2 linked regions of the Macaca mulatta genome follow. The protein of the gene in region 2 interacts with the protein of the main gene of each other region in a pairwise test. Links are inferred from orthologs where the notes say so. Each region holds a gene or a part of one and is shown on either strand. Other genes may lie near its edges.

Evidence for each region.
Region 1: the proteins of EIF3G (region 2) and MIF4GD interact in binary tests that used the Homo sapiens proteins (3 or more experiments, as listed by UniProt). The link is inferred for Macaca mulatta from reciprocal best matches to the Homo sapiens genes EIF3G and MIF4GD.

The regions. Positions count from the first base shown.
Region 1 is NC_133421.1:84,959,560-84,963,956, forward strand, and holds the start of MIF4GD (MIF4G domain-containing protein), read right to left. Parts: upstream 2,931-4,397; 5' UTR 2,882-2,930; exon of another isoform or gene 2,633-2,881; intron 2,484-2,632; exon of another isoform or gene 2,328-2,483; intron 2,007-2,327; 5' UTR 1,957-2,006; coding exon 1,875-1,956; intron 929-1,874; coding exon 809-928; intron 1-808. UniProt on the Homo sapiens protein: Functions in replication-dependent translation of histone mRNAs which differ from other eukaryotic mRNAs in that they do not end with a poly-A tail but a stem-loop. May participate in circularizing those mRNAs specifically enhancing their translation.
Region 2 is NC_133424.1:10,826,782-10,831,187, forward strand, and holds the start of EIF3G (eukaryotic translation initiation factor 3 subunit G), read right to left. Parts: upstream 3,039-4,406; 5' UTR 2,999-3,038; coding exon 2,979-2,998; intron 2,840-2,978; coding exon 2,793-2,839; intron 2,302-2,792; coding exon 2,218-2,301; intron 2,110-2,217; coding exon 2,021-2,109; intron 1,911-2,020; coding exon 1,851-1,910; intron 419-1,850; coding exon 314-418; intron 222-313; coding exon 32-221; intron 1-31. UniProt on the Homo sapiens protein: RNA-binding component of the eukaryotic translation initiation factor 3 (eIF-3) complex, which is required for several steps in the initiation of protein synthesis.

The sequences.
Region 1 (4,397 bases), on a different chromosome or scaffold from region 2:
TCCACTAAAAATACAAAAAAATTAGCCGGGCGTGGTGGCGGCGCCTGTAGTCCCAGCTACTCGGGAGGCTGAGGCAGGAGAATGGCGGGTACCCGGGAGGCGGAGCTTGCAGTGAGCCGAGATCGCGCCACTGCACTCCAGCCTGGGCGACAGAGCGAGACTCCGCCTCAAAAAAAAAAAAAAAAAAAAAAAAAAGAGAAAAGAAACCATACAGAGGACAGTAACCATACAAACAAACAGCTTTAGCCTGTCTGTCTGCTGACTGTTGCCCAGTCAGAGAAAATGGGGAGGGGTTATGTGGCTGGTAGGAACCAATCAAAGTAAGAATGTAGTTTCTCAGGAAACACATCTTTTCCTGGCACTAGGTTGAGGAAGGAATACTAACCAGGACATGCCTCCAACAGCAGTTTCACAAGTTTGTTTTTTTTTTTTTGAGACGGAGTCTCCCTCTGTTGCCCAGGCTGGAGCGCAGTGGCCGGATCTCGGCTCACTGCAAGTTCCGCCTCCTGGGTTTATGCCATTCTCCTGCCTCAGCCTCCCGAGTAGCTGGGACTACAGGCGCCCACCACCTCGCCCGGCTAGTTTTTTTTGTATTTTTTTTAGTAGACACGGGGTTTTACCGTGTTAGCCAGGATGGTCTCGATCTCCTGACCTCGTGATCCGCCGGTCTCAGCCTCCCAGAGTGCTGGGATTACAGGCTTGAGCCACCGCGCCCGGCCAGAAATAGTGTTTTTATAAGACACAGGGCCTCCCAGCAGGCTCGGCTTGGCACATGATGGGTGCTGCTAATTATTAGTTGAAGACAAACTTCTGTCCTGCGTGTTACAGCGGGAAGGCATCAGGCGAGGGCAATTACTATAGCTCCTCTGGCAGACGGAATATTCTCCACCTGTCTCAAAGCACGCAGCTGTGCATTCAAGAGACGGGGCTATGGCAGCACAGAAACGAGCAATTCAAATGTAAGCGCTTCAAGGGCAGGAGCTGTGTTCTTTTTTTTATGATTAAACCTTTTGTTGTTGTTCTTGAGACAGGGTCTTGCTTTGTTAGCCAGGCTGGAATGTAGTGGCAGGATCATGGCTCATGGCACCCTCACCCCCCCAGGCTCAATCAATCCTCCCACCTCAGCATTTTAAGTAGCTGGGACCACAGGTGCGTGCCACCATGACCGGCTAATTTTTCAATTTTTTTTTTATTTTTTTTATTTATTTATTTTTTTTTGAGACGGAGTCTCGCTCTGTCCCCCAGGCTGGAGCGCAGTGGCCGGATCTCAGCTCACTGCAAGCTCCGCCTCCCGGGTTTACGCCATTCTCCTGCCTCAGCCTCCCGAGTAGCTGGGACTACAGGCGCCCGCCACCTCGCCCGGCTAGTTTTTTGTATTTTTTTTTTTTAAGTAGCGACGGGGTTTCACAGTGTTAGCCAGGATGGTCTCGATCTCCTGACCTCGTGATCCGCCCATCTCGGCCTCCCAAAGTGCTGGGATTACAGGCTTGAGCCACCGCGCCCGGCCCAATTTTTTATTTTGTAGAGATGGGGTTTACACCATGTTTCCCGGACTGGTCTTGAACTCCTGGACTCAAGCAATCTGCCCACCTTGGCTTTCCAAAGTGCTGGAACTACAGGCATGAGCCACTGCGCCCAGCCCTATGGTTAAACTTTTTAAAAAGTCTTTACAGTCTGAGAGGTGACTGATTCATACTCCAAAATAATGGCCTCAATGTAGCTTGTCTCCAGTTCAAGAATTACGTTGCCGATTCCTATCGTCAGAGAATGAGAGGAGGGGTGGAGGCATTCACCAGGCTCAGCCTCTGGTGCTGCCTACAGGGGCCCTTCTCTGTGGCTCCTGACCCCAGCTCAGGAAGGGGTCCCGTGCTCACCTTTGAGTGCTGTCTTCAGCAGCTGCTGGGTCTCTGCATCAAAGGACTGGATTTTATACTCCTCTCTACTGGGCTCTCCCATGACTAGCCAGCCCCAGTATCTCTTGACTGGGCTGGGACTAAGGACAGCACCTGGGGAAGAGAAGAGGCGAAGGGAGCGGCCTCAGGTGTGGAGCGCAGGGCGGGTTCCGTCCTGCAGACCCTGGGCGGGGCTGACGGCGCTCGGACAGGGGCTCCAGGGCGGTTCGTGGCGTGCGGTGGTTGGCTGACGGCCCACCAGGCTTGGCTTCTGGCGGGGACTGGGCATCAGCCAGGCACCTGCTGCTCAGTTTAGAAACCCCTTGCTTGTGGGATTACACAAGAGCGAGAAGCTGAAGCAGGAAAGCGCCCACCCTCCAGTCCCAGCGGGAGGGAGGAGTGGACTGGGGCAGGGTGTGTGCGGGCGGACGTTACGGTTGCTTAAATAAACCGGCCTGACGCTGCTGGCCCAGCAAGATGCCGGGTGAAGGCCAGGCTGGGAACTCCAAGCGGTGCGACTCTGTCCCCAGCAGGGCTCCAAGGCCCTCTCCCCAACCCTCCCTTTCTGGCTTTTGCCTAGTCCTTCGGTCTAAACACCCGCCGCTGCATCCCCCGGATGGGGCCGGCCTGCGTAGGTAGGAACGCAGGCGCCCTGTCCGCCCCCTAGACCCGGGCCAGCTTCTCCCCGGGACAGACTGGTGGGACCGGCTCCCGAGTGGCTGTAACCCGGCCTTACTCACTCGAGACTCCTAATTCCTAAGCTCCATTATGGAGCTTTCCTCTTACAGTGGGGGGCAGGATGATGCGCCCCCGAGAGGTGGCTCCCGCCGGAGGCTCCCCTCTGGCCATAGGAGGCGCCTTTAGGGTCTCCAGCCCTCGACCGCTCCCCCCGTGCCCAGAACGCCCCTTCCAGCAGCACAGGGCCGACTGCGTAGCCCACGGCGCAGGATCCCGCGGGCGGGAGAGGCGGCGTGGGCGCCGGGACCCACCTGTCGGGCCGGCGGCGCGCGCGCGCGTGCCCGGGGCCGCTCGGCCGCTGGGAGCGCGCAACCAGCGTCCGGCGCTGCGGGGGCCGCCGTGAGCTCATCTCCTCGCGCAGCGCCGGGGAAGGGCCGGCTCGCCGGCGCCACCTGCCGAGCCCCCGGGGCACTGCCCTGGCCTCCAGGCCGCCCCGGAAGCCACCTCGCCCGCGTGGCATCCTGCTACGCTGCCACTCAGCCGCAGGCGGAACTCGCTCGGCTCGTCACCTCTTCACCCGGTGCGCCTCGGCCCTGTCCGGGCCCACGCCGGACCTGCCGGATCCTCGATCTTGCGCGTGGCTCCGCACCCGGCCCTCCCCGGAGCTCAGGTGCACCGGGCCGGGAGACGCCGCTGGGCTGCGCGGCGTGGGAGGAGCCTGCAGAGGGCGTGGTGGGGACCCGGTGGGAGAAGGAACAGCATCTGCCCTGGTCGCACCACTTTCCCCGTTCCCCTCACCCAGGTAGAGAAGGCAGGGGCTGCAGGACCCGGGCCAGCCACAACCCTCTCCCGCTCGAAGGAGGACATGGTCGAAGCGAGTTTCAGGTCAGAGGGGCAGCCCTAAGAAAGGGGCCCCGCGGGCAACTCGCGGCCGTCGGTTGTTGCGAGTGGCCCTGAAGTGGCGCGGACCGGTCCACCGCCCGGCGTCTGCCCTGGGTGACAGGAGGGCACCTAGAAGAGGGGAAGAACTGCCGCCGCTCCTGCCGCGGGACCGGGAGGAGCGTTGCCGGCGCTGCCCGCGTTTTCGCCTCCTTTTAAAAGAACCGCCAAAGTGGTTACCGAAAACGGAGGATAAAGAGAACGCTCAGCTGCAGCAAAAGAAACCAGTGGGCAGGAGAGATGAAGAGAAGGAGCTTTAACGGAATTTCATAAAAAATACATTCAAGCAGCTGCATCCTCGCGGCCCCCGCCGCAGCCTGGACCTTGGGAACCAGCAGCCCTGAGCCAGGAAGCCCCAGCATTCAGGGCCCGGACAGACTCCAAAATCCCAGACCAGAGGCAGGGAAGGATGGTGCGAGGAGGAGCCCAGGACCCACACGCCAGGGCCAGCGCCGGCTCCCAGTGGGTGCGTCCTTCCAAGGCTGGAGAGGGAGGCAGAATGGAGGGCTTCCCAGGTCGGAGCAACTCTACAGGCCGGGCAGGTGGAGGGAAGGGTGCAGGTCATGTTCTGGAGACCTCCCCGCAGCCTGGAACTGGTTTCTCCTCTGCCTCTCTGCCTGTGGGTGTCCCTGTGCTCTGGTAACACCCCAGGCACCAGCTGTGCCCTCACCAGGCTGCCTGCCCGCCCCTTCTGCCATCCCCATCAGCGGGCTGCTTCAGAGCCACGGCCCTTCTGCGGCTACAGGGGCGGATGCACCCACAGCATGCTCTGCACTGAGGAGCAGGCAGTGGGCGCTGATGCCAGCTGCCCTGCCGACAGCTCCTCACCCAGCAAGGCCGACCCAGCCCCGGGTGAAAGAGGAGCGAGTGAGGTAGATTGGGGAGAGG
Region 2 (4,406 bases):
GCCATGGCAGCCAGCATCCCCAGCCCCGCACCTCCCGGCAGCTTCTCCTTCTCGCCGGTAGACAGGCCCAGCTGCTCGGCCAGCTCCTTCTGCATGGGACCCAGCGTGTCCTTGTAGGGGCAGCGGGTGGTCCAGTGGTCGCCCTTGCAGATGCGGCAAGACACGATCTTCTGGCCCTTGAGTTTGTTCATGGGGTCCTCCTCCTCCTGGCAGTTCAGGTCCTGGCAGGGGCGGGTTGTGGGAGCTCAGAGGCGGCTGAGGCACCCCCTGTGCCCCACCCCAGCACGCCAGCCCCCCCGATCGCCCTGCTCACCTCTTTGCTGGTGATGAACGTCATAGAGACGTCATCACTGACGGTGGTGGTGGCCACATTGGGTCCCGGGGGGTCAAACTCCGAGTTCCCGAACTTCTTCCAGTTCTGGGCTCAGGGGGGGATGGGGGACAGTTGAGGGCAGGGGCAGGCAGGGTTCCACAGTGGGATACCCTAGACCTACAGCAGCCATCCCCAGAGTACCTGGGCCTCGAACCCCATTTTCATCCTCCTCAACCACTCCCCAAATAGTCCTGGCGACAGTTCCCATTTCCTGAGTACACGCCAGGCCCAAGCTCCAGGTGACAGCTGTACAGCCTGGGGCCTGTGCAGGCTGGCGGACCAGCTCCCACCAGGGCGTGATACTCAGGGATGTGCAGGGGTCTACCCAGACCTCCTGGCCCTTGAGCTAGACAACCTGAGCCTCAGCTTCCTCCCTTCCTCCCTTATCAAACGGGAACCACAAAAGCTTCCTGCCTCCCTGGGCTCCTAAGGAGACTGAATCAGAGAGACACTCCCTGCAAGGCGTTTGCCATGGGGTATGTTACAATTAAGTGCACAGCAAGCTGTTCTAAGTGTATTTATTGCTAATGCTTCTAACTGCTGCGACCACCTCCTGCCTCTGTTCCTCCAGGCTGACAGGCCAAGAGGAACAAGAATCTAACCCCGGCTGGGCCCGGTGGCTCCCTCCTGTAATCCCAGCAATTTGAGAGGCAAAGGTGGGAGGATCTCTTAAGCCCAGGAGCTAGAGACCAGCCTGGGCAACATAGTGAAACCCCATCTCTACAAATAATTAAAATTAGCCGGGTGTGGCAGTGCACACCTGTAATCCCAGGTTGGCTTGAGCCTGGGAGTTCAAGGCTGCAGTAAGCTATGATCGTGCCACTGCACTCCAACCTGGGCAACAGAACTGGACCCTGTGTCTTTAAAAAAATTAAAAGAATCTAACTTTCACTCGATATTTATAATGGAATTTATTTGACATTTATTAATATAATTTGATATCTATCATCAAACTTTTATTAGATATTTATCATTTAATCGCTATTTATCATCGACTCCTATGCCCTGGACTTTCCAGAGTCCCAAGAGAGTGTAAGCACTCCAGGCCTCAGTTCAGCTTCAACAAAATAGGTACAAAGAGTTAAGCCCGGCTGGGTGCGATGGCTCACGGCTGTAATCCCAACACTTTGGGAGGCCGAGGCAGGTGGATAACGTGAGGTCAGGAGTTCGAGACGAGCCTGGCCAACATGGCAAAACCCCGTCTCTACTAAAAGTACAAAAATCAGCTGGGCGTGGTGGCGCATGCCTGTAATCCCAGCTACTCAGGAGGCTGAGGCAGGAGAATCACTTGAACCCAGGAGGCGGAGGTTGCAGTGAGTCGAGATCGTGCCACTGCACTACAGCCTGGGGGACAGAGCGACACTCTGTCTCAAAAAAAAAAAAAAAAAAAAGAGTTAAGCCCCATCTCTTAACAAAAAGGTCCCGGAGCACGGTTTCCCAATTCCTCTGGGTTAGCCCTGGGGAAGGAGCGCCTCACCTTCCTCCTTGCAACAGCCTTTGAAGCCTTCCGGGTCTCAATCCTGAAGGTGCGGACAATCTGAGGATGGCAGGGGAGAAGGGTCAGGCTTCTGGGACTAGGGGATCTCCTTTACCAACCCCCTCAGCACACCCCGCCGCCTTCTGGTCTAAGGGACCCCCTACCCTCACCTTGAACTTCTTGCCATCCTCATCTATCTTGTACTCTGTCACTGTCTTTATGTTTCCGTTGATGACTTCCTTGGGAGGTGGCAGTGGAGCTGGGAGAAGGGGAAAAACAGAAGGACTGAGTCCTGGGTCATGGGGATCAGGAGCGGCAGGGCTGGAGGGAGAGGCAACCCGGACACGGAGTGGCAGTCCTCACTCACCTCCCGGCAGTAGCTCTGGCTCTGGGCTGGTGTCGCCAGTGGCCAGAGGGATCCCCTTGAGGAGCTCGCTGGTGACACATTTGTCTGCAAGAGGCAGCGTGGGGAGGAGGGGTCAGGTCCAGGGCAGGAGCTCCCCAGCTGCGATGGAAGGGCCTTTGGGATGATGCCTACAGCAAGAGCTGAGAAAGGCAGGCCAAGGGCAGAGGGCTGACCAGGCAGCGCACTGGGATAGCCCTGTGGGGACTTGGAGTGGCAAAGATGGGGGATCCCTCGTAGGAAGGTGGGTGCCAGGCCATGAAGCCAACCAGGCGCCAGTAGACAAACAGGAGACGGGAGATTACAACTTCCTCCCTGGAGTAAGGCAACAGCTGGGAGGACTTCGGCAGTAACATGGGAGGAACAGGGACCCGCCCGGGAACACCTGGAGTTGGCAACAGGCAGGTCCCAAGGAGGATGGCGCGGGGCAGGGGCTGGTCGTGACGGGGGACACGGTGCCAGACTGCGAGATGGAAGCAGGCGTCAGTCGCCCGGCTCGGGCCTGGCCGCGATTACCCCGGGCGACCGGGTACACTTACCGTCCTCCCCCTCCTCCTCCACCTGGTCAGCCCAACTGGGCTTCGAACTGCGGAAACAAATGTGTGGGAAGCGAAGATTAAGTCAGCAAGGCCCGGTCCCCGCAGCCTCGGCACACCCAGGCCCCATAATACTGCCCAGAGCACCCCAACCGCTTCCCATGCCCCCCTCCGCGATCCCGGACTCACTCAAAGTCTCCAGTAGGCATCGCAAAAAGTATTCTCCACGCAGCCCAAGCCTGGCCAGAGAGCGGAAGTGGGTGGAAAACGAGACTTCCGGTGTCGCCGTCGCCGCTAGAGAGGCCCAGCCGCGGCACCCACAACGACACCTGCGGACGGAGGTGGAGGCGCACGCGGCTGTGTGTGCTGCTGAACGCTGCTGGTACCAGAGCAGGGCTGGCGGGGCAGAGGCTGATTTCAGTGCTGGTCCTATTAACCTTTAAAATTAAAATAGGCGGGGCGCGGTGGCTCAAGCCTGTAATCCCCTCACTTTGGGAGATCGAGGCGGGCGGATCACCTGAGGTAAGGAGTTCGAGACCAGCTTGGCCAGCGTGGCGAAACCCCGTCACTACTAAAAATACAAAAATTAGCTGGGCGTGGTAGTGCGCGTCTGTAGTCCTAGCTACAGATTGGAGGCTGAGGCAGGAGAATCGCTTGAACCCGGGAGGTGGAGGTTGCAGTGAGCTGAGATTGCGCCACTGCACTCCACCCTGGCGACAGAGCGAGACACCGTCTCAAAAAACAAAACAAAACAAAAAAAAACCCACACACACAAAAAACCAAAATTAGCCAGGCGTGGTGGCGGGCGCCTATAATCCCAGGGACTCGGGAGGCTGAGGCGGGAGAATCGCTTGAACCCACGAGGCGGAGGCTGCAGTGAGCCGAAATCACACCACTGCAGTCTAGCCTGGGCTGCAGAGTGAGACTCTGTCTGAGAAAAAGAAGTAAAATTAAAATAAATAATAATAATCATAACAAGGCTCACTTATTGAGTGCTTGTTGTATATGAAGCACGGTGAGGAGGATATTACTTCCATTTTACAGCTGAGGAAACTGAGGCTCAGACTGGGTCCGGTGGCGCATGCCTGTAATCCTGCACTTTGGGAGACTGAGGTGTGGGGATCGCTTGAGGCCAGGAGTTTGAGACCAGCCTGGGCAGCATAGTGAGAACCCCTGTCTCTAAAATAGAAAAAAAAAAGAAAAAAGAAACCAAAGCTCAGGGAAAACAATCCTTTTGCTTAAACTGTTCCTTATCTTCTTTCCCGATCTCAATGATTCAGATGCCAAGTCGCCCCCCTCCCCAGCCACTCCCTCTTCTTTTCTTTGTAGCCTTCTTGGCTTTCCGGTATAATTTTGTGCATTTACTTGTTTATGGCTCAGCTGCTTGCTCTAAGCACAACCGTCCTCAGTTGGAGTGATTCATGATGACTCCCCAGGGGAAAAAACTGCTTTTCAGGGAGGAAAAAAATCTTAGCTATTGTGGTCTTCTAAAGCCAGCTCTATCAGCCATCTTATTCCTAAGTATTTAGTTTCTGCCTTTAGGGAGATATTAAATGTAATTAAATTGAAATTAATTTAGTTGATGTAAATTCAATTTTAGAATAATTCGGGTTTTCT